Linked DNA regions of Nothobranchius furzeri. The protein of the gene in region 1 purifies or fractionates together with the protein of each later gene. This does not show direct contact. Links are inferred from orthologs where the notes say so. Each region holds a gene or a part of one and is shown in the gene's direction. Other genes may lie near its edges. The genes, in order: spast, nup85, nup107, nup160, nup43 and nup133.

What was found.
Region 2: the proteins of spast (region 1) and nup85 purify together in Homo sapiens (affinity purification with mass spectrometry; 3 studies listed by BioGRID and IntAct, counting the BioPlex papers as one, with this or other methods). This does not show direct contact. The link is inferred for Nothobranchius furzeri from reciprocal best matches to the Homo sapiens genes SPAST and NUP85.
Region 3: the proteins of spast (region 1) and nup107 purify together in Homo sapiens (affinity purification with mass spectrometry; 3 studies listed by BioGRID and IntAct, counting the BioPlex papers as one, with this or other methods). This does not show direct contact. The link is inferred for Nothobranchius furzeri from reciprocal best matches to the Homo sapiens genes SPAST and NUP107.
Region 4: the proteins of spast (region 1) and nup160 purify together in Homo sapiens (affinity purification with mass spectrometry; 3 studies listed by BioGRID and IntAct, with this or other methods). This does not show direct contact. The link is inferred for Nothobranchius furzeri from reciprocal best matches to the Homo sapiens genes SPAST and NUP160.
Region 5: the proteins of spast (region 1) and nup43 purify together in Homo sapiens (affinity purification with mass spectrometry; 3 studies listed by BioGRID and IntAct, counting the BioPlex papers as one, with this or other methods). This does not show direct contact. The link is inferred for Nothobranchius furzeri from reciprocal best matches to the Homo sapiens genes SPAST and NUP43.
Region 6: the proteins of spast (region 1) and nup133 purify together in Homo sapiens (affinity purification with mass spectrometry; 3 studies listed by BioGRID and IntAct, counting the BioPlex papers as one, with this or other methods). This does not show direct contact. The link is inferred for Nothobranchius furzeri from reciprocal best matches to the Homo sapiens genes SPAST and NUP133.

The regions. Positions count from the first base shown.
Region 1 is NC_091752.1:1,587,970-1,593,047, forward strand, and holds the start of spast (spastin), read left to right. Parts: upstream 1-1,911; 5' UTR 1,912-2,128; coding exon 2,129-2,240; intron 2,241-2,318; coding exon 2,319-2,402; intron 2,403-2,482; coding exon 2,483-2,557; intron 2,558-2,634; coding exon 2,635-2,783; intron 2,784-2,870; coding exon 2,871-2,998; intron 2,999-3,083; coding exon 3,084-3,177; intron 3,178-3,263; coding exon 3,264-3,338; intron 3,339-3,443; coding exon 3,444-3,515; intron 3,516-3,599; coding exon 3,600-3,675; intron 3,676-3,756; coding exon 3,757-3,848; intron 3,849-3,927; coding exon 3,928-4,007; intron 4,008-4,088; coding exon 4,089-4,131; intron 4,132-4,222; coding exon 4,223-4,302; intron 4,303-4,446; coding exon 4,447-4,517; intron 4,518-4,608; coding exon 4,609-4,649; intron 4,650-4,809; coding exon 4,810-4,935; 3' UTR 4,936-5,078. Other genes in the region: protein MEMO1, read right to left, coding at 707-767. UniProt on the Homo sapiens protein: ATP-dependent microtubule severing protein that specifically recognizes and cuts microtubules that are polyglutamylated.
Region 2 is NC_091752.1:54,262,635-54,267,750, forward strand, and holds the start of nup85 (nuclear pore complex protein Nup85), read left to right. Parts: upstream 1-1,964; 5' UTR 1,965-2,098; coding exon 2,099-2,131; intron 2,132-2,536; coding exon 2,537-2,627; intron 2,628-2,722; coding exon 2,723-2,879; intron 2,880-2,979; coding exon 2,980-3,050; intron 3,051-3,136; coding exon 3,137-3,180; intron 3,181-3,329; coding exon 3,330-3,399; intron 3,400-3,526; coding exon 3,527-3,648; intron 3,649-3,765; coding exon 3,766-3,900; intron 3,901-5,116. Other genes in the region: small ubiquitin-related modifier 2, read right to left, coding at 1,239-1,259. UniProt on the Homo sapiens protein: Essential component of the nuclear pore complex (NPC) that seems to be required for NPC assembly and maintenance. As part of the NPC Nup107-160 subcomplex plays a role in RNA export and in tethering NUP96/Nup98 and NUP153 to the nucleus.
Region 3 is NC_091741.1:38,092,338-38,096,862, reverse strand, and holds part of nup107 (nuclear pore complex protein Nup107), read left to right. Parts: intron 1-29; coding exon 30-133; intron 134-2,280; coding exon 2,281-2,396; intron 2,397-2,495; coding exon 2,496-2,544; intron 2,545-4,525. UniProt on the Homo sapiens protein: Plays a role in the nuclear pore complex (NPC) assembly and/or maintenance. Required for the assembly of peripheral proteins into the NPC. May anchor NUP62 to the NPC. Involved in nephrogenesis.
Region 4 is NC_091744.1:79,810,784-79,814,149, reverse strand, and holds part of nup160 (nuclear pore complex protein Nup160), read left to right. Parts: intron 1-176; coding exon 177-293; intron 294-2,647; coding exon 2,648-2,771; intron 2,772-2,854; coding exon 2,855-2,953; intron 2,954-3,046; coding exon 3,047-3,188; intron 3,189-3,366. UniProt on the Homo sapiens protein: Functions as a component of the nuclear pore complex (NPC). Involved in poly(A)+ RNA transport.
Region 5 is NC_091742.1:11,413,917-11,418,990, reverse strand, and holds nup43 (nucleoporin Nup43), read left to right. Parts: upstream 1-1,715; 5' UTR 1,716-1,935; coding exon 1,936-2,049; intron 2,050-2,264; coding exon 2,265-2,387; intron 2,388-2,841; coding exon 2,842-2,919; intron 2,920-3,018; coding exon 3,019-3,181; intron 3,182-3,264; coding exon 3,265-3,400; intron 3,401-3,484; coding exon 3,485-3,636; intron 3,637-3,736; coding exon 3,737-3,857; intron 3,858-4,145; coding exon of another isoform or gene 4,146-4,149; coding exon 4,150-4,375; 3' UTR 4,376-4,644; downstream 4,645-5,074. Other genes in the region: pcmt (protein-L-isoaspartate(D-aspartate) O-methyltransferase), read right to left, coding at 1,392-1,572. UniProt on the Homo sapiens protein: Component of the Nup107-160 subcomplex of the nuclear pore complex (NPC). The Nup107-160 subcomplex is required for the assembly of a functional NPC.
Region 6 is NC_091747.1:67,783,440-67,787,964, reverse strand, and holds part of nup133 (nuclear pore complex protein Nup133), read left to right. Parts: intron 1-2,017; coding exon 2,018-2,172; intron 2,173-2,679; coding exon 2,680-2,771; intron 2,772-2,861; coding exon 2,862-3,019; intron 3,020-4,525. UniProt on the Homo sapiens protein: Involved in poly(A)+ RNA transport. Involved in nephrogenesis.

The DNA.
Region 1 (5,078 bases):
CATGTTTTTATTTAGGTTAGCTGAAAGTATATATGAGGAAGGTTTCGCTGGATTACAAATGGAATAACTAAATGTTTGGTGGGTTCAAAAATAGAAAAGGCTTCCTGTTTATGAACTGGGGGAAGGGGTACAACATGAAACTCCAGTTTTCTGCCCAGCCCAACCCAGTCCTTTGTTTCATGGCTGAGAACATTTCACAGTTAAGGAAGTCGCAGTGAGAAACCAAAACGATCACAACAATTAAAACAGCTTAAGCTGGTTTAGCTTTGGTTGTTTTCTGGAGTTGTCGAGTTAGCGTGTAGGCCAGGGAGGTCTAATATTAGCCAAGTTAGCTCTGAATAGCTATAGCCTGTAACAAATTTGTCCAACAAAATCCCGCTTTATTTTATTCTTTTGCGGCATGATCAACAATAAATGACCACAAAACACACATGTTCCTCGTGGGATGACACAGAACAGGCTGTCAGAAGCTGGTAAATGTTAGCTAACCGGCTTTTATTTGAATCATCTAGATTAGCATGACATCGTCGGCTTTAACAGCCTCCTCGGGCAATATACGAAGAGAAACGTTATAAACCCAACGATGTTTAAAGTTTTACTAAATAAAGCGACAGACAAAACCAACGAGGCATGCTGACATACAAAGGAAAATAAAAAACAACAACAGCTAGCGCTCGGTGTGCTAACGCAAAGTGCCGACAGTTACCCGAAGCGGAGTACCAGCTCCCGGCGTGACTTGCTTCTCTGCACACCACTCGATTTGACATCTTGGTTCCCAAGCCGCCTATCTTGATTTCCTTAACTTCTTTATAGCAAAATAAAAATAAAACAGAACTGCAAAAACCCTGCGTTAGCTAGCTGACAGATGAAATAACGCCTGCTAGCTACCTTGCTCGAATAGACAAAGGGCAGTCCGGCTGTCGAGACAGCTGGGATAGCAAGCTCACTGTACTGGCCCCTGTGTTGTTATATTAATGTCGATGGTTGTTACCGGTTAATAAGTGAAGTTAGTTTGTTCGGCAATCTGGCGATATAACTCCTTATAGGCACAAATAAAACAGTATTGCGCCGACAACAAACACTAGCTAGCCCAATATAAAACCTTTAAACTGTCACAGTAGGTATTTGAGGATTACTGAGACTTCTTTTGCTAGCCAGGTAGAAGGGGCGCGGCTAAAACTGTTGTCGAAGTGATGTCACGTCTTATGATTGGTGAATTGATTTTGTAGGGAAACATCATTGGTGGGAATTGGAAAGGGGCGGAAACAAGTCCAGAATGGTTGTTTGGTTACAAAACGTTGGGCCGTCAAGTGAGCTGTGGTGAGCACACATGGCAGAAAATGAATCATACAAGCTTAACGTTATGGTTGAAACCAAAACAATTAAGAATCTAGATGCTATCAATAACAGCTGTCGACACGTTTGTAATGCATCATTATAATGTCTAAAGGTTTTTCTCAAATTTCTTTCATGAATTGTCATTTGAGTTCAAAATCTTTTCTGATTTCTTCTGAGTTGAAAATAGCAGTCATTGTTTTGAATGACATGTGAATTCGTGAAAATTAAAAAGAACATTATGTACAAGTCAAGGAAAAATAACGATATATAACGATATATATAGTGAATATATATAGTGAAACTATTATTATTATTATAAATATGGTTAAATGTTTCTAGTAATTACTTTACAAATTGGTGTTCTATAATCACACAAAAATGGGTAAAATGGTAACGAAATCGGTGGAAAAGCAGGCGGAAACCTGTTTTTTGCAACAAATATTATTTATTATATTTTTATTTTAAAATTTGGTTAGAAATTTTGACTGTAAAAATGGAAAACGACACAAGACAATGTTTCTCCACTACGGCAGGGGGCGCTAGGAGTTTACACCAAAGAGAAGATGCGGAAGCGGGCGGAGTCTGTTGTTTGTGTACAAGGGAAAGCGGAAGTTAGCGGTAGCTGCTTGCATGGACTCTAAAAACAAAAGAATATCACAGTGAAGGGTTAGTTTACTAAACATATACCGATGTTTCGCCACCTTCGCATGTTTTTTAAATGCTAAATGTATATTTCCCTTCTTAGAGAATTTGTAACAACCGCGATTAGGGAGGAAGTAACGCATCAGTAATGTCGGCTAAAATAAACGCAACTAATAGCAGCGGAGAACTTATTAAAAACTATCATAAACAGGCGTTTGAGTATATTTCGAAGGCACTGAGGATCGACGAGGATGATTCAGGTTGGTTTATTTGTTTGAGTATCGATCAGCGGATGTTTTGTGTGACAGTTTGTTATAAACGCCATCATGTGATAATAGTGGCTAAGGGAGAAGCTGTGCAGTGGTACAAGAAAGGAATCGCTGAGCTTGAAAAGGGTATCGCCATAGAGATTACTGGAACAGGTAGAAACGTTAACACTCCTCTGTTCCGTGATGTTTTGTGTTAGGAACATTTAGCCATGAATTCTGTGTTGTTTTGTCAGATGATCGATCAAAGAGGCTGCAAGATAAAATGGTTACCAATCTCACCATGGCGAAAGACAGGCTTGCTTTGTTAGGTAGGTGTCATTTGAGCTGACTAACACCCTGCTGGCATCAAAGCTAAATAACCTATTTTCCTGTTCTTTCCTCACAGAGGCCACATTGGCATCTAAAAGCAAAAACAATCCTCTGTCTGGCTCAAGCCTCCCTAAGCCTAAAAGCCAGCCTTCAGCTTCAGGGTTGTCCACTAACTTTAGGCCCTCCACTGCTGCCAGACCATCACCAAGACCTGCTGATGCAAAGGTGTTTTGATTCTTCACCATGTAAAGTGTAATCACGTGATACTGAAGGGTTCACGTTGTGTAATGATTTCTGCTTAAATCAATTCAGGTGAACCCCAGGATGGGAAAAGTCCCAAATGGAAGACCTGTGAAGCAACCCCCAAAGAGGGACATGAAACACTTCAAAAATGTGGACAGCAAGCTGGCCAGCTTGATTCTTAATGAAATAGTTGACAGGTATTCATAACAAGATAATAATGCTTTTGCAATCTGCAAAATACAGAATTAAATAAAGATGCTACATTTAAAATGTGCTCGGCAGGGGAGCGTCTGTATCTTTTGAAGACATTGCTGGACAAGATCTAGCTAAACAAGCACTCCAAGAAATTGTGATCCTTCCTTCCTTAAGACCGGAGGTTACGAGCTTTACTATATTTCTGTCTTCATAAAGCATCTGTGCTTTAAGTGTTTAACCTGACACCATCTCCTATGGTCTGTTTAGCTGTTTACAGGTCTGAGAGCACCTGCACGTGGTTTGCTTTTATTTGGCCCACCTGGAAATGGAAAAACCATGCTGGTATGTAGCGCATCCATTTTAACACAACAACCTTGATTGCTTGTATGCATGTATCACCATCCTGCTGTTATTAGCTGAATTACAGATGCTATTCCTCCTTTCCAGGCCAAAGCAGTCGCTGCAGAGTCTAATGCTACTTTTTTCAACATTAGTGCAGCTAGTTTGACATCTAAATATGTGAGTAGATTTATAAATTGCTTACTTTTCTGCAGCCACACTGTAATCTGTGGTGTTTTCAAATGTTTCTTATCACTGTCACAGGTAGGAGAGGGCGAGAAGCTTGTACGAGCTCTCTTTGCAGTTGCAAGAGAACTGCAGCCTTCAGTCATCTTTATTGGTCCGTAGTACTGTCTTCCACAGTTTAACTTTGACATCTTGGTTCATAAATTAACCTTTTAATATCACTTTTAATTCTTAGACGAAGTGGACAGCTTACTCTGTGAGAGGAGGGAGGGGGAACACGATGCCTCTCGTCGCTTAAAGACAGAGTTCCTCATCGAATTTGATGGGGTAAGAGTGTCAGGAATTTATTCTTGAACACCTGAGAACACACCGGTGTCATTTTCACATCTGCCTTTCTGGATTTCAGGTGCAGTCAGGAGGGGATGACAGGGTTCTGGTCATGGGAGCAACTAACAGGCCTCAGGAGCTTGATGAAGCAGTCCTAAGGTAAGCAGTGCAGCCATACGTGATTGTTTTATGTTTGATTTAAAAATATGTCACTGCTACTGATAAATGTTTATCTGACAGGCGCTTTGCAAAAAGGGTGTATGTCGCTCTGCCAGATGAGAAGGTAATTATCACCCATGCATGTTTTTTTTTTTTTTGTTTTGTTGCAAGATGCTTTTTGTTTCCTTTTTAAAAGAAGTTTTCTAACTCTTTAGACGAGACTCACTCTGATGACAAACCTTTTGGGCAAACACGGGAATCCACTGAGCTCGAGCGAGCTGTCTTGCCTCGCAAAGTGAGTGTCCTGCTGCTGTTACAATGCTTCATGTGTTCGTAGAGGCAGTAGAAACCCACATGACAGCATAAAAATATGCTAAAAGTTAGATTTGTATGTATGTCCCCTTTAAGCTGATATAAATAAAATGTTGTTAACTGACAGAGCGACTGCAGGATATTCAGGAAGCGACCTGACGTCATTGGCCAAAGATGCAGCTCTTGGTCCTATTAGAGGTAGGACTGATTAATCAATTAATTTCTGGCAACATTTTTACATTTTTAATGGGAAAACCAATGAATTTTATGTGAACTTGATCTCTTTCAGAGCTGGGACCAAACCAAGTCCGCAACATGTCAGCCAGTGAGGTGAGAAGAAGGAAAACCATCAGATTGGCTTTTGTAATTACACAGTATTAAATATGTGTAATTACACAGTATTAAATATGTGTAATTACACAGTATTAAATATGTGTAATTACACAGTATTAAATATGTATTCATTCACTTTTGTTTTCTATGTTCTCAGATGCGTAACATCAAGATGAAAGACTTTGAGGATTCCCTGAAGCGCATTAAGCCCACCGTTAGTCCCTCTACTCTAAATATGTATAGCAAATGGAACAAAGATTTCGGCGATACGACAGCTTTTTGAACTTTGCTTTTTACTTGAAAAATAAAATAAAATAAACGTTTCTTTAGTTAAACTGAGTGAAACTATCAAAGCACTTCTCTTTTTGTTGGGTGTGGCTATATTATATGAAAAAAATGTGACATTTGGGATTATTATAGGAAAAT
Region 2 (5,116 bases), about 53 Mb from region 1:
CTTTTATGGGTCTGAAACCTGTGGCTCTTCCATTCCTCTGAATCAGAGTATTGTTTATATGTAATGAATAAAACAAAGTGCCTGTTTGTGTAAGAAAACCATAATAATAGCTAGATCTTCCTGTGTAAGAAATTGGACATATCCATTAAAATGATGCATTCATAGCTCAATGCGTTAAACTGATAACTATCTAATGCCTTTGTTAAACTGAAATAACCAGTTAACAAAAAGTGCAATACCTTGCATACCTTGTAAGACTATTTAAAATGCTGGATAATTTTCTAGTATAAAGCAGTTTAAACAGAGGCAAAACCTGTTAGCAGCCTTTTGTACAGTTAAAATGAGAAAGATTTAGCAATATTAAGATGGAATTGTGAATTTCATTTAAAAATAAACTACTGCTAAGTTAGATTTTGGGACATATCAAATAAATTCAGCTGGTGGTGTGAAATGAATAGGGCGATTTTCAGCATGATTTGTAATTCTGATGCTCAAAATTCTTCCCACCTGCCCATAAACCAATAATCACTAATTCAAAGAATCAATAACAAATTGATAATTTAGGAATTTTTATCTACAAAATTACGAATTTCAAGTAAACAACAATAAAACGACGATCATAGTTAACTGAAATAAATCAGACAAAATTGGCATTGGTCCTCAAAATCACAATCTGTGCGTCTCCACTTCTACAGATTTGTTATCAATAAAAATAACTATTATTACTATTAACAATAACATTATTATATTAATCAAAATCATTTGTCACAACTTAATGCAACCCAAAGTTGGATCTTTTACTTTAATATTAATGTAACAGAAGTTTTAAATATTAGTAAATCATGGCACAGAGTGAATGAAGATTCTGTAGTTGTAAAAATGTGACCTTTTTATTTTTAAGAAATATGAAACTGTTGAGTGCAGACAAAAATGTTGCACTAATTTACACAAGCTAGTTGAAATCTTTTTCCCAGATCAACACAAACTCACATGACTTTTGGACTGAGGACGACACCAGCTGGTCGTCTGTATGTTATCAAGAGGAAGGAAGGAGAATGCGCGCCTGCGGATGCGCGCTCACAAACCTTCCGGTCTATCAAAGTAGCAGCTAGGTGAATTGTATCAAGCAACTTTAAAATGGTCTGTAACGCAACATGCGGAGTTGTGCTTCTTCCTTTTAAGTTCCTACATTCCAAAGCGGGTAAAAAAAACTCAGTCGACATAATGGAGACACTAACCTTTGGTTTTTCATCAGCCATGGTCACTCTTTTGGCGCTTCTCTACGCTGCCACACAAAGAATACGAGCACGCGCACGTACTCGTGCCCGTTTAAAATAATCTTGCAAACGTGCGCGACCCTGTATCCGTGCGCGTCCACCTTGGCCGACACTCATTTGCTTAAATTGGTCACGAGGTGAAAGCGCGGTCTGGTGATGGGCGGGAGAGTCCCGCGAGCGCGTCACAGAGGCGCTATAATCCACATGCACGCGCACAGCGATGTTTTCCCTTTTGCTTTAAGCTTTATGAACGTAGACATTATCAAATGAGACAGTTATTGCGTGAATTACTTCACGTCTGCGTCGGGAAGTTTAGTCAACATCCCTCTACTGCGTGGTATCCAAACTTGGAAGACATGATACCCATGTTACTGGTCTTATCCCTGTTTACCAGCGGCCATCTTGTTTCACTAAATATGCCTAAAAGCAACTTCAGTTCAGTTATAGGTTATAGGATATTTCACAGAAGTGCTCTTTATAAACATTTTCCAGTGGGAATGTTTGTGTTTTTGAGTGAATTAATATTAAAGGTAAATCTGACTCCACATAACCACATTTTATTGCGTAATCATGCGTTACGAATTATCTAATTCCAATGTATATGAGAGGGACAATTTTATTTGCTTTATTAACAGCAGTCGATTAAAAAACAGGCATTAGAAAGGGCAGCCCTTCGTGACGCATGCGCAATAGTGGATTTCAAGCACCCATGAACCACGGCGCGTAATAGCAGATGAGAGCATCACATGTATTTAATGTATATTTTGTAGCTGAATAGTTTGTATTTTATATTTTCTTTGCATCAGAAACATTATTACCAGATGGAGGAAGTAGACGTTGAGCCGGTAGTTACTGTAAGTTGTCTCTTGTGTGTTTTTACCATGGTTTTTACTGCTAATAGCCACTCTACTGCTAACAAGCTAGCGGAACCGCAACAACCTTCTGAAATCACGAAACCAACAATTTATTTTGGGTTTAGTAAAACGCGCAATAAAGGATAATCACTGTGCGAGTGACTTCAAACGTAGGTGAGGGAAGTGTTATTATTAGCTTGTAAACGCCTGTACGAGTTGGTTGATGTGTTTGTTATATGGTATTCATTAGTTAAAAATGGGGCAACATTGACATTCTTTATAGTTTGAAGTGGGTCAACTATTTAATAATACTAATTTTTTAGAAATGCAAGGTTTTGCTTGATTAAAGTGTTTAATAAAATATCTCTTTGTACTTCATAAAATGTTGTGTTTTTTTAAATGCAGAATATTTCTGGAATCAGACCTGGGAAGCGTATGGGATTTGCATGGGGTCCTGGTGATATACTTGTGTATGAGACACAAAACAAAGCATCAGGTAGAAGGAGTTTTTAAATCAAAGTCCTGCCTCAAGTGCTTTTTTTTTAACTGTATTTTTGATGCATTTTGTGTAATGTGTTTTCTTTGTTTCAGGACCTACAGGGTCAGGTTGTGCCTTCATCCACGTGGTGCGGAAAGACGAGGACATCTATTCCCCCATCTTAAGAAAACTTTTTAACGAGTCGCATCACATCTTTGTTGGACTGCAGACAATCAAAGATGATCTCCCAAGCAAGAGCAAAAAACCACAGTAAGAAGGCTCCACGGGGTCCTCCACCACTGTACACCCTGCTTTTAAGTTAAAATGAGCAGATAAATGTTACTTATGATAACTGAGATTTTCTTTACAGGTTTGTAAGCATCAGCAGAAACTACAGGTCTGTGATTCGAGCCTGTATGGAAGAGCTTCAGCAAGCTGCAGGTGAGCTGTCTTGAATTTTACTAAAAACATGTTCTGAGCAATCTTATGCAAGAATAATAAACTCCATTATTATGCATTTTGTACAGTTTCTGCAAATGACACAGATATGGCCACACAGTACGGAAATCAGGCATGTACTTAAAATGTTTTGTCTTGGAGTTTAACTAAATATATTCACCATGCAGTTAGTTCATGACGTAAGGTCCTAAGTACACATGACATAACATTTTTATTCTCTGGTCCATTTTTCTGATGTCCATCTGATTTTTCCTGTCACAGGTGTCCATCCTGTTGGCCATAGAACTGATCTGGAATCTGTGTGAAGTGCTTTTCATTGATGCTGCTCCAGGTCAGAGGCTGATTAGTCTTAATTCTTCTTTTTCTTTTCGGAAAACATTTTTTCTTAGAGTATTTGACTTTGAGATTATGAACACACGCTCAAAAAACAATGCAGTGATGTGTGTGTGTCTTCTCAGCTGGTTCCCTCCTACTACACCTTCTGGACTGGGTGAGGTTACATAAATCCGATGTGGATGAGAAGGCGAAGGGGGTGCTGCAGAGTGACAGCCCTGCTGAGCATCGTGACTACTGGGATGTGGTATGTGCTGTAAAAACCCTCTTAGATCATTTATTTAATCCCTGTTCTTTAAATAATATGTTCTTTCCTGACAGACTACAGTGGGAGATCTCATTTTTTGCGTTTTGTGTGTTTCAGGTTTTAAGTTATGTGCTACAGGGAAGGTTGGAAGACACTAGGAAGATGCTGATGAAACAGGCGATGCTGCAACCTGCTGCCAAGAGCATGTACAAGCTGATGGATAGCCTGCTAAGCAAGATGCCCTTCTATAATGTGAGCACCATGTATTTTACCACATTTTCTGTTGTCTCAACAAAAAGCCTAAAATGCTAAAGTTGACCTGACATTTAAAAGACCCTAGTCTTTCACCTTGGCCTTTTGGCTTAGTTTTTCTTAATAGCTTTTGACATTTTCTGAAATAGATCAAATGTTTTTTGTATTTAAAGTTTGTAGCGACTTCACACACCTAAACACGATGCACCCAACACAAGAAAATCAACCCTTCCCCTAAAGTGTCATATTTCAGGAGTCTTGTATCTAAAATTTTCAGCAGTTTACCATTTTATTTAAAGACTAAACCAGTTTTGTTATTGTTGAAATACAGTTGGTCACTCGGGTGAGTTTAACATGCAGATCTTCTACCCCTTCTTCCTGCATTAGCCGTCAAATCAAACTTTATTTATATAGCACTTAATCATACAATGCATGTAACTCCCAAGTGCTTAACAAATTAAAAAGGCCCCGCATACCCACATTCCCTCCCATCCCCAGAATTTTAAAAAGAGTCTGAGAATAAAAACCCCTTCACAACACTCATTGTCCGGCACACATACACACATGAAACATACGGGGAGCCAATGCAGTGATTCTAAAACTGGAGTGATGTGCTCCCGCTTCCTGGTCTTCGTCAGGACACGTGCTGCTGAGTTTTGTAATAGTTGTAGACCTGAAGTCCTCTTTTTAGGAAGACCAGAAAGCAGGGCATTGCAGTAGTCTATCCTACTGGTGATAAAAGCATGCATTACTAGCGTCTCCGTATTGGCCCGAGAGAGAATGGGGCGGACTCTGGTGATGTTCTTTAGATGGTGAAAACCTATTTTTGTGATATTTTTAATATGATGGCGCCGTCTGTTGTGGCTTGCCGTCTGGTTTGCCGTTTGTGCTTTTTGTACTTTTGTCACTGTTTTTGAGTCTCCCAGTGGCTGATTCCTGTCCCACCCTCACCTATGACCGAGCTACTCTTCTGGATCTCCGGCAGACTTCACTATGCCTCATTCAAGCAATCGTTTGGGAACCTGTTTGATGGAGTTCCGCCCTTCCTCCTGTCCTCCGCCTGCGACCTGGTGGGGCCGCGGTGGAAGCGGCGCGGCAGGCGTAGTGGCGCTCATGTCCAGCTCTGAGCTTCCCGGGTGTGCCAGTCCAGTGGCAACGTTTCTTCCCGGGTTTGGGTCTGGTTCCCTGATGATTTCTCGGAACACAACATCCAGAT
Region 3 (4,525 bases), on another chromosome or scaffold:
CTCCTGATGCTGGACTCTCATCTCTTCAGCGGCCGCCAGTCTGTTTCCGGAGTTCCTTACTTCCTTTCTGAAACATTCTTCCTCTGCTGTGTTTGAGCTTGTGGAGGATTATCAGAACATCTGCAAGGACAAGGTAAGTCAGGAGGAGCTTAAACACACCCTCTGAGGGCCTTTATCAGGATTTATTAGTTCCATTAGTGGTGCATTTAGGCATTAAAACTTCTGTTTATACCTGCGTCCACTCACTGTGAGGGTCATCTTTTAAGCAGTGGGGTATATTTTGAAATATATGCCCCACTGCTTAAAAGATGACCCTCACAGTGAGAAAACTTAATTTTCTGTAAATTATTTAGATTTCTGCTGCCATGAATAGCAATTATTCGTCATATGTTTTCCACATTTCACAAAGTGTTAAAAACATGACAGGACAAGGAATGAGGTCCTGCTTCAAGTGGAGGAGTTTAAGTATCACAGTGAGGGAAAGATGGAGCGTGAGATCGATAGGCGGATTGGTGCTGCGTCTGCAGTGATGCGGGCGTTGTACCGGTCTGTCGTGGTGAAGAGAGAGCTGAGTCAGAAGGCGAAGCTCTTGATTTATTTTTTGATCTACGATCCTAACCTCACCTATGGTCACGAGCTTTGGGTAGTGACCGAAAGAACAAGATCGTTGACACAAGCGGCAGAAATGAGTTTTCTCTGCAGGGTGGCTGGGCTCTCCCTTAGAGATAGGGTGAGAAGTAGAGCCCTGCACTGAAGCCCTAGGCCCGGGGGTCGGCCCGGCCCGAGGGCTGGGCTTCGGGCCGACGACTGTGTAATTACCTCGGACACGGGCCGGGCGCCTTTATTTTTAATCAAATTCATAAAAAAACCGGAATCACTTGAACGCAGCAGCACCTGCCTGCGTCTCACGCACCGGCACCCGTTAGCTCAGTTAAGGTCTGTGTGGTTTATAAATGCGCCTATTCTCAAACAGCTGATTGAAACATGTGCCCCTGTTCTAATATGCCATTTTATGTCCACTTTGATGTCAGAAACCATTCGTTAATTCTCATGAAAACGGCAGCGTTCTATTTTTCTGTGAATAAATTCGCTCCGCAGTTAAAAAAATACAGCATTCACTGCTGTATTTTTTTCTAACTGGAGAGCGCATTTTCAGAGCGGCAGATTCAATTTACAAACGCTTATTGGGGGCGTTTATCTAATCTGCCGCTCTGAAATGCGCTCTGCAGTTAGAAAGTTAGAATGCTGCTTTTTTTCTAATTGCACAAGAGCGTGTTTTCAGAGCAGATTAGATTTACAAACGCATCCGATTAATATAGCGTTCGTAAATTTCATCTGCCGCTCCAAAAATACGCTCTGTTAGAAAAAAAGCTGCATTGATGCGTTTTTTTTTTTATTTTACTGCAGAACGCTTCTCACAGATAATTAGAATGCTGAGCATTCTTTCACGCTAAAACATTATGAAAGGTAAAAAAAAAAAAAAAAAAGTCTGGCTCGGGTCGGGCCAGAGAATCCTGAAAACCTTTTCGGACCGGGTCGGGCTGGGGCTCCACCTGCTCGGGCCGGGCCGGACACGGGCTCAGATTTTAGGCCCGTGCAGGGCTCTAGTGAGAAGCTTGGTCATCCGGGAGGGGCTCGGAGTAGACCCGCTGCTCCTCCACATCGAGAGGAGCCAGTTGAGGCGGCTCGGGCATCTGGTCAGGATGCCTCCGGGACGTCTCCCTGGTGAGGTTTTCTGGGCTCGTCCAACCGGGAGGAGACCTAAAGGTAGACCCAGGACACGGTGAGGGGACTATGTCTCTCACCTGGCCAGGGAACGCCTTGGGGTTTTTCACCCTTGACCCATTTTCATGTCTGATAAATCTGTTTAATGTTTCGGATCACCGTCAGAGTAAATGTACCTGTTTAAAGGGATTTTAAAGAACAAGCACCACAAAAGTGAAGTACTCTGTCAGGAACATGGGGAATAATCAGGTCACTGATGTATGAAGGAGCCTGACTATTAAGAGCTTTCGATGTGAAAAGGAGGATCTTAAAATCTCGTGCGAGGTTCTAGAAGTTTCAAAATGTGTCCTAAATAAACCTGCTACCATCTCACCTCCTCCAAAATGTGCTTCCGCCAGGTCCAAAGTTTTACGTGAAGTTTTCCTGTATAATTCGCAAAGTTTGTGAGGAAAGTAATTGCGCAGTTTTCAGACCCTGTTCTGTGCGTAGGTGAGCTTTCTGATGAGGCCCCTGAGCACCGGGAGCCCAGAGCTAACAGGATTGGTTTCCTTTAAGGTGGATGTGCTTCAGTCGGTGGTGCTGAGAGCGGGTCAGAACAGTAAAACGGCAGGAGTCTGCTGGCTGCTGCAGCAGGAGAGCTGCACCTGGAGACTCGTTGCTTCACTCTACAGGTATCACGTCTCACTGGTCGAGCGAAATCCACCCGTCTGTCTGTCTGGTGGTGCAAACGTCCACCCCTCTGTGTCTAATTCACCTGCTTGTCTCTGCAGAGATCGGGTCCAACTGGCGCTGGAGGACGACATGATGACTGACGTGGTTGTAAGTGACTTCAGGTTCTGCTGTAGTCTTTCTGCTTCTGTCTGTCAGCAGAATATCATTTCAGCTGAGCTGAAGTTTCTTGTGTGTAGCTGAGAGTCGTACTCATCACTGTCCAGCATCACTTCCAATGTTTAACTAGAAATCCATTTCTCAACATCTTACTATAAAACTCTAAATCAGGGGTGTCCAACTCATTTTAGCTCAGGGGCCACATTGAGGGAAATCTAGTCCCAAGTGGGCCGGACCGGTAAATTAAAAACAACTTCAGATTGTTTTCTTTGTTTTAATACAATCATTATAAAACAAGGCTGGAGCCCGAGGACAGTGTATCCAAAATAGTACAAGTACAACACCTGAAGTGTACTTGAAAATTTGAAAAATAAATAAAAAATAAAATCAATAAATAAAAAAAAATTCCTTAGTGATTCAAAGAGCTTACAGATCACATGGCTAGATCAGTTTAATGCAGCACTTAAAGTATATTTGACTCATTTTACTTTACATCTTTTAGCTTTCACCAGCACATCAACATCAGAAGTCACAGCCTGAGTGGCGGCCATCTTCAGGATGTGATTCAAGTTCTTGTGTGAGCCTTGAGCGCAGCTTTGTTTTATTTATACTCATTACAGAGAAAACTTGCTCACAAAGATAAGTTTATTTTCACTCTACATTGTAAAGTATGAAAATAAAGTTTACACAACCATCTCGCGGGCCGGATCCGACCCACGGGCCGCATAGGCCGCATATTTGACACCCCTGCTCTAAAGGAAGCAGGCGGCGTGCATCCCAGTAACGACTTTAATTTCTTCATATTTTGATTTCACTGAGGAAAATATTGGCTTATTTCTGCTAATCTAATAAATAATCTGAAGAAATCAAACAAGTGGAGGACAACAGTAGAATCAGGCCTAAATTATTGTGTTTAGGTGGGTGAACTTTTTCTAAAAATCACAACTTAACTCATTCACTGCCAGTGTTTTTCAGCCTTTTTAGCATTTTGTTAAGAGCCACAGAAGGTTGAGCGCTAGCATGATGTCGACGCCAAAACAACCAAAACAAAGCGGAGACTCACCTCTTACATCAGGAAGAATCCGCGTGTTTCGAGCGTTATCCGTTCTTTCATAATCCGTTGTTGAATTGTGATCGGCAGAAGCTTTTCTGGTTCGCGCCTCACTTTTTTTACAGCAGCGGCCCAAAACGATCTCCTAACACATGGATGTTCTGCTTCCTGATCACGTGAAGTGTGACGTACGCGGATGAAGATCGGCTTTAGAGCTGAGATGTTTGTTCTCACAGTGCGGGGGCTCGTCCGACGCCCACACAGTAAAAACATGCAAATGACGATTTTGGTCGTCAATAGCACTGAACGAGTTAAGGAAACCGAAATAAAAAGAGCAAAAATCTTGACTCAGACCAAAGTGATTAATCCTCTCTCCGCTTACGATTACGGGCTAAGTTTTCATCCAGTGGCTCTGTAACCGGATTACAGGATACAATAAGATAATTAAAAGAAAAAATAAACAAATGGGCCAATAATTAGGTTCGGGGAGAATTGGAGGTTGTTTAAGAATGACTGGAGTCACGGGTATAGCATGAAACGGTTTATATACTAAATTTTAATAATAGTGGGAGATATAACACATAAAGATAACACATAAAAACAGATGAAAACAATCGACAATAGTAAAATGGTCGGTATGAGATTTGATCATATGAGTCACAAGTCAGCCGGCGTCAAGTCAAATCCCCACGCTTGGGGTGAAAGTCAGAGTCCGGTGGTGCGATTTTTTCCTACCACACCGTTGAGATTGTTCACAGAAGAGAGCAGTCTGCTCTTCAGTTACTTGAGATGTCCTGGTTCGTTCAGTGGTTAAGGCTCGCCATCTCCCTCGTCAGGAAGAAATCCAGTTCTCGTTCCAAGTGAGTGATCATAGGAGTCGGGATCAAACCCAAGGAAAAAAAAAAACCCAGCCTGTAAACA
Region 4 (3,366 bases), on another chromosome or scaffold:
TTCTCTTTCTTTTAACTCACATTTTTATCACAAAATAAAATTTTATCATGTTTATGATATTTTAATTCATTTAAAATATTTTTGAATTTTGTTCTCATGATGCACCGTGCGATTTTTATCTTGAGAGGCGCTACAAAAACGATTGTTTTCTTTTTTTCGCTACTGTGTGTCTCCAGCTGCAGGTAGACATCGGGTGGACATTCTGGAGCTGAATGATCTGGAGAGGGAGTACTTTCTGTCTCGGGCCCGCCTCTCTCTTGCACAGCACCACCCACCATCTGCAGCTATTGCAGGTAGTTGTGCACCTTGTGTAGGTCGTGTGTATTTGCACACATCACTGAAACCTTGTTCACACAGAGTTTTAGCCTGACCAGCTGGGAACTCTTGTATTCAAATAACCCCGCCCCCTGAGAATTCTAACTGAGCCAATCAGCGCTGAGCAGCGTACGTCACACACCATGTTGCTCATTTTCTCAAACATGGCGTCTGAAGCAGAGTTAGGTGCAGGTCTTCCCTCTGTTCTAAATGACTTGAACGCGTCTTTAAAACCAAAACAATTAGAAGCGCTAAAAGCTTTTCTTCTAAAGAAAGATGTTAATGCCATCGCCAGATGCCATTTTTGACTACAGCTTACAAAAACTACAGCATCACTCAGCATTCGGTGTGAAACAAGCTTAAAGGTCTAATATCATGCAAAATTCATTTGTGGAGGCATCATCATAAATATACTGGACATCTCCTTTCCATAGGCTCCAATATCACGTTTTTGAGGCCAAATGGGAGGTGGCCACCGCCGCCATTTTGACCGTGTCACAGGTTCCGTCAAGCCCAGACAATTCCAAAAAAAGGGAAGAGAGGTGGAGCTGAGGGTGGGGCTGTAAGGCTGGGATCAACTGATGACACCCGGTCGAACTAGCTACAAGCTAACCCAAAGCTAACACAGAGGTGGGAGCTAAGCTAACGGAGGTAGCAACCTAGCTACAACCGGAGTTAACTGTGCACAACACCAGAGCTTCTGAGTCAGAGATACGCCGGGCTGACCGCTGGGTAAAACCGGGTGGAACACAGAGGTCTCCGAGAGCTCCACAAGCCGGCAGCCGCACAGCAGACAAGCGCCGCTGCGATCTGAGATGCGCAGAGCTGCCGCTGGGGAGAACCGAATGGAAAGGTTTCCATCCCAGAGCTCCACAAGCCGACAGCCCGCGCATCAAACAGAAGCCGCGATCAGAGATGCGCCGAGCTGCGGGGAGGGGATAAGGGTGGAAAACATCGGTCTCCCGAGAGCTCCACAAGCCGATAGTCGGAACCCAGCTCCACCAACATGTTATATTTCAACCCATTTTCTAAAGTGCAGCATTATGTTAAATGCACTGGGTTTTACCCTATTACATTTAAGTTTCATGGTTAAATAGTACATGTTAAATCTAAGCTCAGCTCAGCAGTGACCTAAAATACATAAATATAATTTTACTAACCGAAAAAAAGGAAGTGGAGACTCCTTGGACGCTCTATTAGTGCAATTAATGCCACAGCAAGTCGTTTTGTCCAACAATTGCACAAAAAATATCCAAAGAAGAATACACAAACACAGAGACTCAAAATCCCGGAACAGTTTCCAAGCCAGACCGAGGCTCTATGGTAAATGGTAAATGGCCTGTATTTGATATAGCGCCTTCTAGAGTTCTTGAAACCCCCCAAGGTGCTTTACAACACAATCAGTCATTCACCCATTCACACACACATTCACACCCTGGTGGGGATGAGCTACAATGTAGCCACAGCTGCCCTGGGGCGCACTGACAGAGGCGAGGCTGCCGAGCACTGGCGCCACCAGTCCCTCCGACCACCACCAGCAGGCAACATGGGTTAAGTGTCTTGCCCAAGGACACAACGACAGCGACAGACTGAGCGGGGCTCGAACCTGCAACCTTCCGATTGCGAGGCGAGCACTTAACTCCTGTGCCACCGTCGCCCCTACTCTACTGAGGCCTTTCCACGGAGCTACCTCTGTGGTCACGTGGGTCTGATGTTCATTAATTATACAGAATTTTAGGCTTTTAATACACTTAAACAGAAGAGTGAGAAAAAAATTCACCCCCCTCAGAGTTGTCATGAGTGTAAACTAGATCATTTAAACAAAAAACATGTTCTGGTACCAGGCTGTAAACATGTTTATTTCTGCTGTGAAATTGGTATTTTTAACATGGGAGTCTATGAGGATTTGCTCGCTTCTGACACCAGCCCCCAGTGGATGAGGGTGGAACTGCAATTTATTTCACTTCCGGGTTTGCATCAATTTTAGAGCCGCATTGTGGGGGCTTGGTCAGAGGCATCTGAGGAGAGAGGGTAAATAACCTTCGGTGGAATAGCTCCTTCATCACGTTACAGCACATTGAATTGCCTCTGTGGATGAAATGTGCTATATAAATAAAGCAGCCTTGCCTTACTATGGATTTCACATTTCTGCTCAGAAAGGACTTCACGATCCGTACTGATGTCCACAGACATTTATTTTCTTCACACAAATCAGAACATTGTGGTACATCGTGAAAACTAAAAGAAGACAAATATCATAATTATACCTCTTAATCATCAATAATAAATACAACATTCAAAAACAATATTTACCGTGTGCTTCTGTTTGCAGGCAGTGTGTCTGCACCAGAACTGGTCCTCCTCCTGGCCCAGACCGGACTCTTCGACTCAGCCCTTTCTCTCAGCCAAATCTTCAAACTGGATCTGAGTCCAATCTTCGATGCTTTAACCTTCAAGTGAGCCCAGGAGGTTCCTCACTTACTCTTCCCCTTCCATTTTGTTTCACTTCCTGTTTGCTTAACCCTACTCTTTATCTCAGGTGTATCCAGCTGCAGTCTGGGGGGGAGGAGTCTCAGAATGAAGCTTGGAGCTGGTTGGCTGCTAATCAGCTGTCAGTTGTTACCACCAAAGAGTCCAGGTGTGTTGCTTAGCCAGTAGTCATGTTATTGATCATATTCATTAATTAGTCAGAGCCCATTTGTGTTAACCTTCCCTGACTTTCTGTGCTCAGTGCCACTGATGAGGCATGGCGACTGCTAGCCTCTTACCTGGACAGGTATCCATCTACCAATGGACAGTATCATCGCCATGTCATTCACAAGCTGCTGCAGCATGGTGTCCCCTTGCCTGATTGGCTGCTGCAGTCATACAAGGTGAGAGGAGGCAGGGCCGTACAAAGTGGTGATAATATATATAAATCATATCAAACACCAGACCATTTTTATCATTTTTACATTAAATACATTTCATCATCATCACTAAGAGGAAAGTTTGATGTCATGGTGAATCAGTCATCATTAATTCATCCTTAAAACCCAGATGTGGACTTCT
Region 5 (5,074 bases), on another chromosome or scaffold:
TTTTCAGTGGTTATATTACCTTTTAGACATGTCATCAAGGTCCAGAGAAACCTGTTAATCAGGTGTGTTGAAACAGAAATGTCTAAAATGTGCTGGATTGTTGTCCTGGAGAACCAGGAAATGACACTGTATGTCTTTTAGCATACTTGGGATCCACCGATACCACTTTTGTCCAAACCGATACGATACTGATACTTGGATCTGAGTACTCGCCGATACTTCTACCACACAAATAATGCAATGAATTGGAATACAGGTTTTATTTTCTTCTCTGCTTTCAACAGGAAAAGATTGTGAGGTAGATAAAAAATAAAATATATTCATAGAAATGATCACAAAACTGAAATATTAGGTGAACAGAAATGACAAGTTATGGTGAAGCCACTTTCAGGCAACTGCATTGGTATCGGTTCCTGGTTTCGGTTGACTTTTACATCCCTACTTCTATGCCAGCATTACAGTTTTCTTTACTTCATAGTTTGTCTTTTTGACAGGCTGGTTACATGAATAAACTTTTATTAATTTAGAATATAAAAAAACAAGATCTGAACTGGTAACTAGATATAAACTGGAAAAATAGGTCGTGTCTATAAGCCCAGAAAGCCAAGCTGACGCTAGGCACACCCTCCTACAAAATTCTCAAAATTACTCTGACTTTTTTGTTTGATAATTTAAAACACATTTTGCAGGTTGTAATGTGTGCAAACAATAAAGAAACTGTTTTGATTTCTGCAGATCGACTAAGGTTGATCGATTTCTTATTAAAATATTGTGAAAGGATATTAAATGTCCATGGAAAGACATCAGCTAAAATATATGCACAGAAATTTGAAAATGTTCAACAATCAGGCTTCTTAAATGGAAATGAGTCGTGGGCTTTGGCACAGAGCTATGTAGCTAACAGCTGCAGTGATACAGCAACTTGTCATTATTTAAATGTATCCGAGTATTAAAGCTCAGCAGAAACTATCCGGACATGTACAGCTGTTACTGTCATTCACATTGAAGTCCAGTAGAAGACACAGACATCAATGACAGTGGGCAGTAGCATAAAATCTCAAATGACGCACATACTGCTAACATGCTAAGCTAACTTCCCACAGGACACCACTTTTCTGCGATTTACAACAAAACGGAAATGTCATTTCTGCTGGGTTTTTCCCCCCTGCTGTGACAAAAGCGTTGCCTTGTCCCACACATGGTCCCACAGCGAAAAACGTGGTTTAGGAAAAGGGGTGGAGAGGCGGGAGGAGACGCTGGGTCACCATAAACATAGCTTGCTAGTAGCTACCGCTCCTAAGCTAACCCCAGCCTCCAAACTACAACGTTTTCTGGCGACGCGGCGGTGAAGTTCATCGCTGCTGCCGCTTTAAACCTGCAACCGGACTCACTGCGAAGGTTGTTGACAAGCTCTGCGTGGCTGGCTCCTCCAGATTTCCAGGCCATTATTAAGCAGACTTTACGGAGTAAGTAGACAGCAGCTGTAAGTGCCGCGCCTGCGCCAATAGTTTTACCAAAGAAGCTGACAACCTCCAGAGCAGACGGCGTAGCGGCGGATACGTCACTAGACATCCAAATGATTTTACAGAGCAGAGCCGCCTCTCAGATGCACGACCAAGCAGAAAAATATGTCATTTTAGAATATAATTAATCTGTTCATGATGCATCAAAGTCAGCGTCAGACGAAAGGGAATAAAAGCCACGTTCCTCAGCCATGCAGTGCTTTATCAGGTTTTTGCCGCAGTAACAACGGAGACGACCGCTAGGTGGCGGAATGTACAAATTCACATTTCTTGCGAGAAACGCAGATCAGATTGTTTGATCCTGTTGAGCCACCGTACTTACGTTTAAAGCTAGTGGGTGCGTACATAGAGCTAAGCTAACATCAATAAGAATATTTTTCGTATTTAGGCAGCAGAAACGTTGGTTGTTCTCATGGAGAGTGCTAAGTACGTGTCCCAAAAAGTCAGCAAGGCCAGATGGCGTCCTGTGTCGTCTTCGTTTTTACAACAACCAGAAATCTTTGCGACGGGATCGTGGGACAACGAGGTTGGCTAGTTGAATATTTTTGGTGAACCAAATTTACCCAGTTTTTCAAATGTTCTGTGTTTCTCCTGATTATGCACACTTACACGTTGTAACTGTCAAAAAGGATTTAACACTTGTTACACATAGTTTGCTTTTTTGTGTGTCTGTCAGGTTCGTTTTGGTCATTTTTTTTGCAAGGATGTGGCCTTTATTTAAAAAAAAAATTATTTCTGTAGGAAAACAAGATATCTATTTGGTCCGTGGGTAATTACGAAAATTCGGGCCTGGAAGATGGATTTGAAGGAGATCCGCAGCTTATTTGTGAAAACAAGCACGATGGAGATGTTCTTGGCCTCCAGGTAAGACGCTGTAACAATAATGTCATAACATACTAATAATGCAATTATTCATCACCATCAACTTTATTTATAAAGCACTTTACATCGACCAGAAGACAGACCAAAGTGCTGTACGCACTTTAAAGAAATTAAAACAACAATGAACCCTGCAGAGATGCACATAAAAACAAATAAAGTACATTTTCTGCGCATTTCAGAATTTTGCTAATACAGAAGGCAAATCTGTTGTTCTATGCATCAATAGTTTTGTTTCTTTGTAGGTCTGCAGGATTTCTCAGTGCACAGCCTTGTTATAGTCAGCAGGAGGATTTGCAACACAGACTCATTTGTTTTGCAGCCATTCTGTTGAAATTTTGACACGTGCGTGGGACATTGTTTTGCATGACTCAGTTTTAGTCGAGCTTCAGCTGTCCAATTCCTCCAAATTAGACTTGATTATACTACTTGATTATAGTTCCTGGATCAAGAGAGAATCGTCACGGCCTCATCAACGGGAGCAGTCACCATCTTCCGCCACCATCACAACAGTCAGGTGCAGTAGAGCTTTCATAAAAGATGTCAACTCCTGTATGAAGGTTGTGTTGCTGCCTTTGCTGTTTATTTATAAAATCATTTTTTCTTCTTACATCAGACAATCTCAGTTTCCCAGCAGTGGGTGAAAGCGCACCATTACCCCTGTGACAATGCTCCCTGCACTGCAGTTGTGTGCAGCAGCCCTGAGATCATCACAGTTGGGGAGGACGGCAGGATTATTGTCCTCAGAGCCGACCAGGATTGTATGGCTCAAGTCATAGGTGAGATTAAACCACCCCATTCAGAACTCTGTACACTTTAACTCGGTGTCAAGTCAACATGCTTTTGCGGGTACATTTGGTAGAGAATGCTGACAGCAGCACGATTCATGCTGTGACTTACCTGAGGACGACGGAGATTTTGACTGTGAACTCCATCGGACAAATAAAGCTATGGGATCTAAGACAACAGAGCAACTCGGCATCACAGATTCTGTCCTTGTAAGATCCGCTTTAGCACGTTTTCCCCATTTTTAATTCTACTATTTTGCTGATGTATGTGGATTTTAATTTTCCTCCAATCAGGTCAGGAGACAGAGTTCCTTTGTACTGCATTGACAGACATCCAAACCAGCAGCACATTGTAGCCACAGGAGGCCAGGATGGAATGCTCTGTATGTGGGATGTGAGGCAAGGCAGCATGCCCTCATCCCTCATGGAGGCCCACTCAGCTGAAAGTAAGATGTACATTTTTAATTATTTAATGGACATATAATTTACACACATATTTAAATATTTTTCACTTTTTTAATGCTTTTTGTCTAACTTTCCTGGCAGTGTGGGAGGTCCACTTCCACCCTACCAACCCAGATCACCTGTTCACGTGTTCAGAGGATGGATCGCTGCTGCACTGGGAGACGTCCTCCCACTCAGACATGCCCTCCTTTCTACAAGGCAAGTCCTATTCATCATAATAATCATTATTATTATTATTATTGGTATTCAGTTTAAAAGGCTGCCTATGTACTTCTTCTATTTTCTTAATTATAAAGATTCTATGGAAACACAAAAGCCATAATCAAGAAAATATCCAGTTGAATGTTTTACTGAAAGTTTACATTATTTAGGGTTAAATAAACAAAGAATTTCCTGATAATGTCCAACACCAGGTCAGTCTATTAAACATTGTCATGTTGTACTATTTGTCGTAATTTCACTGTAAAAAGTGTTATTGTTGTGTTTCCAGGTAGCAGAAACAGCAGCGTGACCTCTCGCAGTGCGATGGCCCTTGCTGGAGGAAACCAGTCCCTCATCAGTGCCTGGCTCAACGGAGACTCCAGTAAAAGCCGCCTGGAGACGACCCACATGCTGCCCAGCCAGACGCTGTCTGTCAACAGCTTGGATGTGCTTGGACAGTGCTTAGTTTGTGGAACTGATGGAGAGGCTATTTTTATCAACAAACAGGTCCCAGTTTAAAAGATCTGGAGGTGACTAATAAATACATGAATGCAAATTTTAATTTGATGTTTTGTGACACATTGGAAGACTTTTTTTTTGTTACACAAAAAGCCAATATACCTACGCAATGAAAGACCTCTGTGTCTGATGCAATGCTTCATTCTTTGCAGTGACAGAATATGGATTAGTGTTTTTGTATGTCATTCTGTACACAATTGTTCAGATTAATAATGTTTTGTACAGATTACTTAAAAAACAATAAAGAAATAAAATGTAACTTTCTCAAATTGTCTCAGGATGTTACGTTTTTTTATACTGACAAATCAAGTAAAATTGTAAATCAAACCTACCAACATAAAAATGTCAAAGTCAGCCTTGTGAGCTCTTATGTTGCTCTGTAAATTTACAAATAGATGTTATGTGCTCACCCAAAGGGAAATTGATTTATTTTTATACATATTAATGCTCTTATTTTTTTATTTCTAAGATTTGTGCTGTGAAATGTGTTTGGACTTCATTAACAGGTTAGCAAAAAAAAACTTATAAAAAAAAGCATTAAAATTTTCTTCATTAGTTTTATTAGTGTTATTTTGTTCTAAACTTAGCAAAAAAGTAATTTCTCCACTGACTTTTATTGTGAAAGTCCAGCGTCTGATGGTGCGTCGTTAGCTTAGCTGTTGTACTTGTCATTCAGATATCCCAGGAATTCAACAAGAC
Region 6 (4,525 bases), on another chromosome or scaffold:
ACAACCACATTGTGACATCATAAGGACCAGTTTACATCATAGTATACCTCTTAGCCAATAGCAGTGGCAGATTTAGGCCCTGTCCACACGTAGCCGGGGATCTGCCAAAACATAGATATTTTTCTACGTTTTGGCCTGTCATCCACACGAAAACGGAGTTTTTTCACACGAAAACGGATCTTTTTAAAAACTCCGGCCAAAGTGAAGATCTGCGTTTTCTCCGTTTTGGGTGTCTGCGTGTGGACGGACAAAACCGGAGTTTTAAGGTCCGCAACGTCACTTTCCGCGACAAAAACATGCTGACATCACGTGTGCGACCTGTGTTTACACTAGCCGACATCATGGATGCCCTCAGAGCTGCGCTCGCTTTATCAATTGTCCAAGCGCTTTCTGCTTGTTTGTTTTTGCAAGCGGAATTACTGCTCCTTGCGGAAGACCACAGACGAAGGACGAGGTTAAGAACGGGGGAAGTACTGCCGCCTACAGGTCTGGCATGTCCTTAACAACGTATTTATCCTGGTACGTGTGGACAGGTTTTTTGGAGGGGCGGATATTCGTTTAAAAAAAACCCGGCTACGTGTGGACTAGGCCTTAAATTCAAATGCAGTGCAGAGTTTTTACCTGACGACGGCACAACACTGACAGTTTTAGGCAGAATATTTAAATTTTAACTAAGATGCACTGAAGTACCAAATTATTGACCACACGTGTCTGCAGCACGATTAGACACGCGTTTATGTAGTTTATCAGCAAAAAAAAGTTGATTTGGGGGGGTGACTTGCTCTTTAATACCGGCTAACTGGATGCACTTGCTGATTGTGAGTTTGTGGAATGGTGCGATAGCAACTGTCTGGATTTAAATGTCACAGAAACAGATTTTAGACGTTCCACACCGTCTCTCCCCGGCAGTAGCGTCATGCATGGCAGTGTGCTTGAGGTGGTGAATAAAGACAAATACGGTTCTTGGATTGACACGAATACAGACTCCATTTTTAAACGTGGCCAGCAGAGAATTTATCTTTTAAAGAAATTCAATTAATTTTAAGTAAATAAAAGGTTTCTATACAACTTTTATTGCTGCTTCATAGAGAGCCGTTTAACGTTTGATTCATTTGCCGGTACTCAAAAATACTTTATTAATCCCAGAGGGAAACTGATTAACTTGATTGATCTGTCGGTGAAAAACAAGAACAAACTGCAAACATCAAAATCTGCTCTAAAATCACTGGAGTTAAACAAAGAGACCTTTATGGGAGGAGCTAGAGAAGGTTTCTCTGGCTTCGTGCTGTTGGTGTGCACCGCGGTGGTCAGACCGCCACCGATCAACTGATCTCAGTGCAGCTAAACAAAAGTAAAGAAACTAGATGAACCTCCCACCTTATTGTAATGTTATTGACATAAAACGCAGCAGAGCGTCATTTTACCTGCAGGCATTTCTAGGCACATCCAAGGTGTTGAAGGGATCTGTTTTGGTGGCCTGAGGATCAGGTCTCTGCTTTTTGCGGATGATGTGGTCCTGTTGGCTTCATCAGAACATGATCTTCAGCTTTTGCTGGAGCGGTTCGCAGCCGAGTGTGAAGCAGCTGGGATGAGAATCAGCTCCTCTAAATCTGAGACCATGGTCCTGAGTCGGAAAAGGGTAGAACGCCTTCTCCGGGTCAGGGATGAGGTCCTGCCCCAAGTGGAGGAGTTCAAGTATCTCGGGGTCTTGTTCACGAGTGAGGGAAAACTGGAGCGTGAGATCGATAGGTGGATTGGTGCTGCATCTGCAGTGATGCGGGCGTTGTACCGGTCTGTCGTGGTGAAGAGAGAGCTGAGTCAGAAGGCGAAGCTCTCGATTTACCGGTCGATCTACGTTCCTACCCTCACCTATGGTCACGAGCTTTGGGTAGTGACCGAAAGAACGAGATCACGGATACAAGCGGCCGAAATGAGTTTTTCCCCACATGCCTAGGGCACACTGACAGGAGCAGTGTAGGAAAACATGACTGAACTGTGTGTTGACGTCTGTGTTCAGGTGATGGCATACGTGGAGGAGGCCACTGCGCCAACCTGCCGGTGTTTTTCTCTCTGAACAGTGGCCTGGTAGTGGTCGTGGCCAGAGAGAGTGCTTCCATCCTGCCGGAGACCATGGAGGACTCGCTGTGCTCCTCCCTGGCTGCAGCCCCTGAGGTGACTCCAGCTTTGCGCTAAGAAATTAAAATACACAATCTAATCTAGCCCATGGATGTAATTTTGGGGGGGGGACAGGGGGGACATGTCCCCCCACTTTTTCCAAAGTCAAGTTTTGACCCCTGCACTTTTTACCATCCAAAAACAATATTACGTTATATTAAATTGACACTGGTTGAGCTCTAGGACCAAGCAGAAAACAACCGTTTGTGTTGAAGCCTGTTTCCTATTAGAGCATACTGTAAAGATACCCCCATGCCCCCCCACTTCTAAAGTGAAAATTACGTCCATGCTGTAGCCTAACAGTCTGTTAGACCAGCCTGACCTTAGACGGTGTCTGGTAATTCTAAAGTTAAACATCTTTTTAATGTTTAGACGGTTCAAATCTGGGAACGTCGATGCGATTCTGTAACAAGACGAATGAAATACATCCTAAAAGTAGCAGATGTGACTGAAACGTGTGATTGTCCACCTTCTTGTGCAGTAATTCCATTTTTGCTGTTAAAGGTTTCTGCCGTGGAGACTCCAACCAGGAAAGCGCCTGTGGGCCAGGAGGACAGGACCAAGCTGCTGAAGGCTGCCTTCCTGCAGTTCTGCCGGTGTGTAAGACGTACCTTTGAGTGGAGCGACAACTACTGGACTGGCTCTGGTCATTCTATTAGATGATAACCTTTTGTTCTCCTCGTCAGTAACGACCTGGTGGGAGCGCAGACGGTCACTGATGAGCTGTTCCCTGCTGACGGGGAGGCTGGAGCTGAGCTGGACAGCGTCGTGACTCGGATCAACCTGGACCTGATAGATGATTACCCAGCCTCAGACCCTCGCTGGGCTGAGTCTGTCCCAGAAGGTGGGCTCTCTTTGCTTTGCAAGTCATTTCAACCCCTGAATGAAATCAGATACGACTCAAAAGTCTTCTGTTACCAGCTCTGGTGGAGCACCGGGGGCTGGGCACCGTTTCCATTTGAACGATTCCGGTTCTTATTGATTCTTGATTCCAATTCTTTCAAGAGTCGTTGTCCAAAACCTTTACATGTTTAACTGAGCCTGCTGACCACAGGTCTTACTTGATGAAAGTCTGAACTTCTGCAGGAATTTGAAGGAGCGTCTCTGATGAGAGGTGACCATAAACGTCCGGCTGTTTGAGTTAAAACTCAGGATGAGTGAGAATCGACAGCAACGACTCGGGTAGAGTGGAACACTTAAACGTAGCTATCAACAGGCTACATGGAGCAGAAATAAGGTGTTTGTTTGCATTTTCGCTGCTGGGAAGGGATGGAGGAGGGAGATGTGACGCCTCACACCTCCGCAGGCTGCAGAGTAAGAGCAACGGGCTCCCCAAGGCGTTGACTGTAATTTCACGGTTTTTTCCACGGAGATCGGCGGCTGAAGCCACACTTTAGCGCACCTGCACACACACTTCCAGCGGATGCTTCTTTGTAGGTATTCGGCTACACCTTCCACCGGTCGGTGGACCGATGATCAACGCTAGCAGTTGAAATTTGAAAACATTAAACAATTCTGGGGAAAAGTTGCACGTAGTCCTGGTTCCAATCGATGCTCCATACTCAACCCTAGGGTTGTCACAGTGTGAAAATGTAACCCCACCCACGGTTATTGTGACCAAAATTACCACGGTTTTCGGTTTTATCGCGGTATTTTTTTTAAACGTGCTACATTTTCACACAATTAAATAAACCCTGTATGTCAGGAAATATTGTCCTCAGTTTGTGTCTAAATTTTGCCTAAAATGTGTTATTTTGTAATGATGTTGTTTATTTGTTTACATTTTTCCCCTTTAGTCTTTAAAATACCAATATTTGCCCATAACTTCTTATTTTATGTCTGTTTGATGTCATAATTTAAAAATATTAGATCAGATGATACTCAGTACTCAAGTAGCCTTGTAATCAGATACTTTTTTACCCTTACTTGAGTAATAAACCCTATATCAGGAGAATATTGTCCTCGGTTTGTGTCCTTCCAGTGAGCTTTGCAGATGTGGGAAAATGTCATCAGGCAGTAATCATTGTTAAATTCATAATTATTCTCGGAGAGAGACCAACTCTTATCTGCCCCTGGGAGCCCCGTAATGCATAGATAGCGTCATTTCAACATGGCGGTGTCCGCGACACGGTTTATATGCAGGTAGCGGCGCTGCGGCTGCTTTATATAGCGACTCGTTGCATTCTCCCTCAACCCAAATCCTCGGATCACGCATTTTAGCTAAAGCGCTAACGTTAGCTTGCCTTGCGTTGACTGTAGAGTTGTGGGTGATGGTCACGCAGATGTGTCATGAGATTTGAAGCGTTGCTGCCTTTCACAGACACTTTTTCTGCTCGTGCTGCAAACAGGA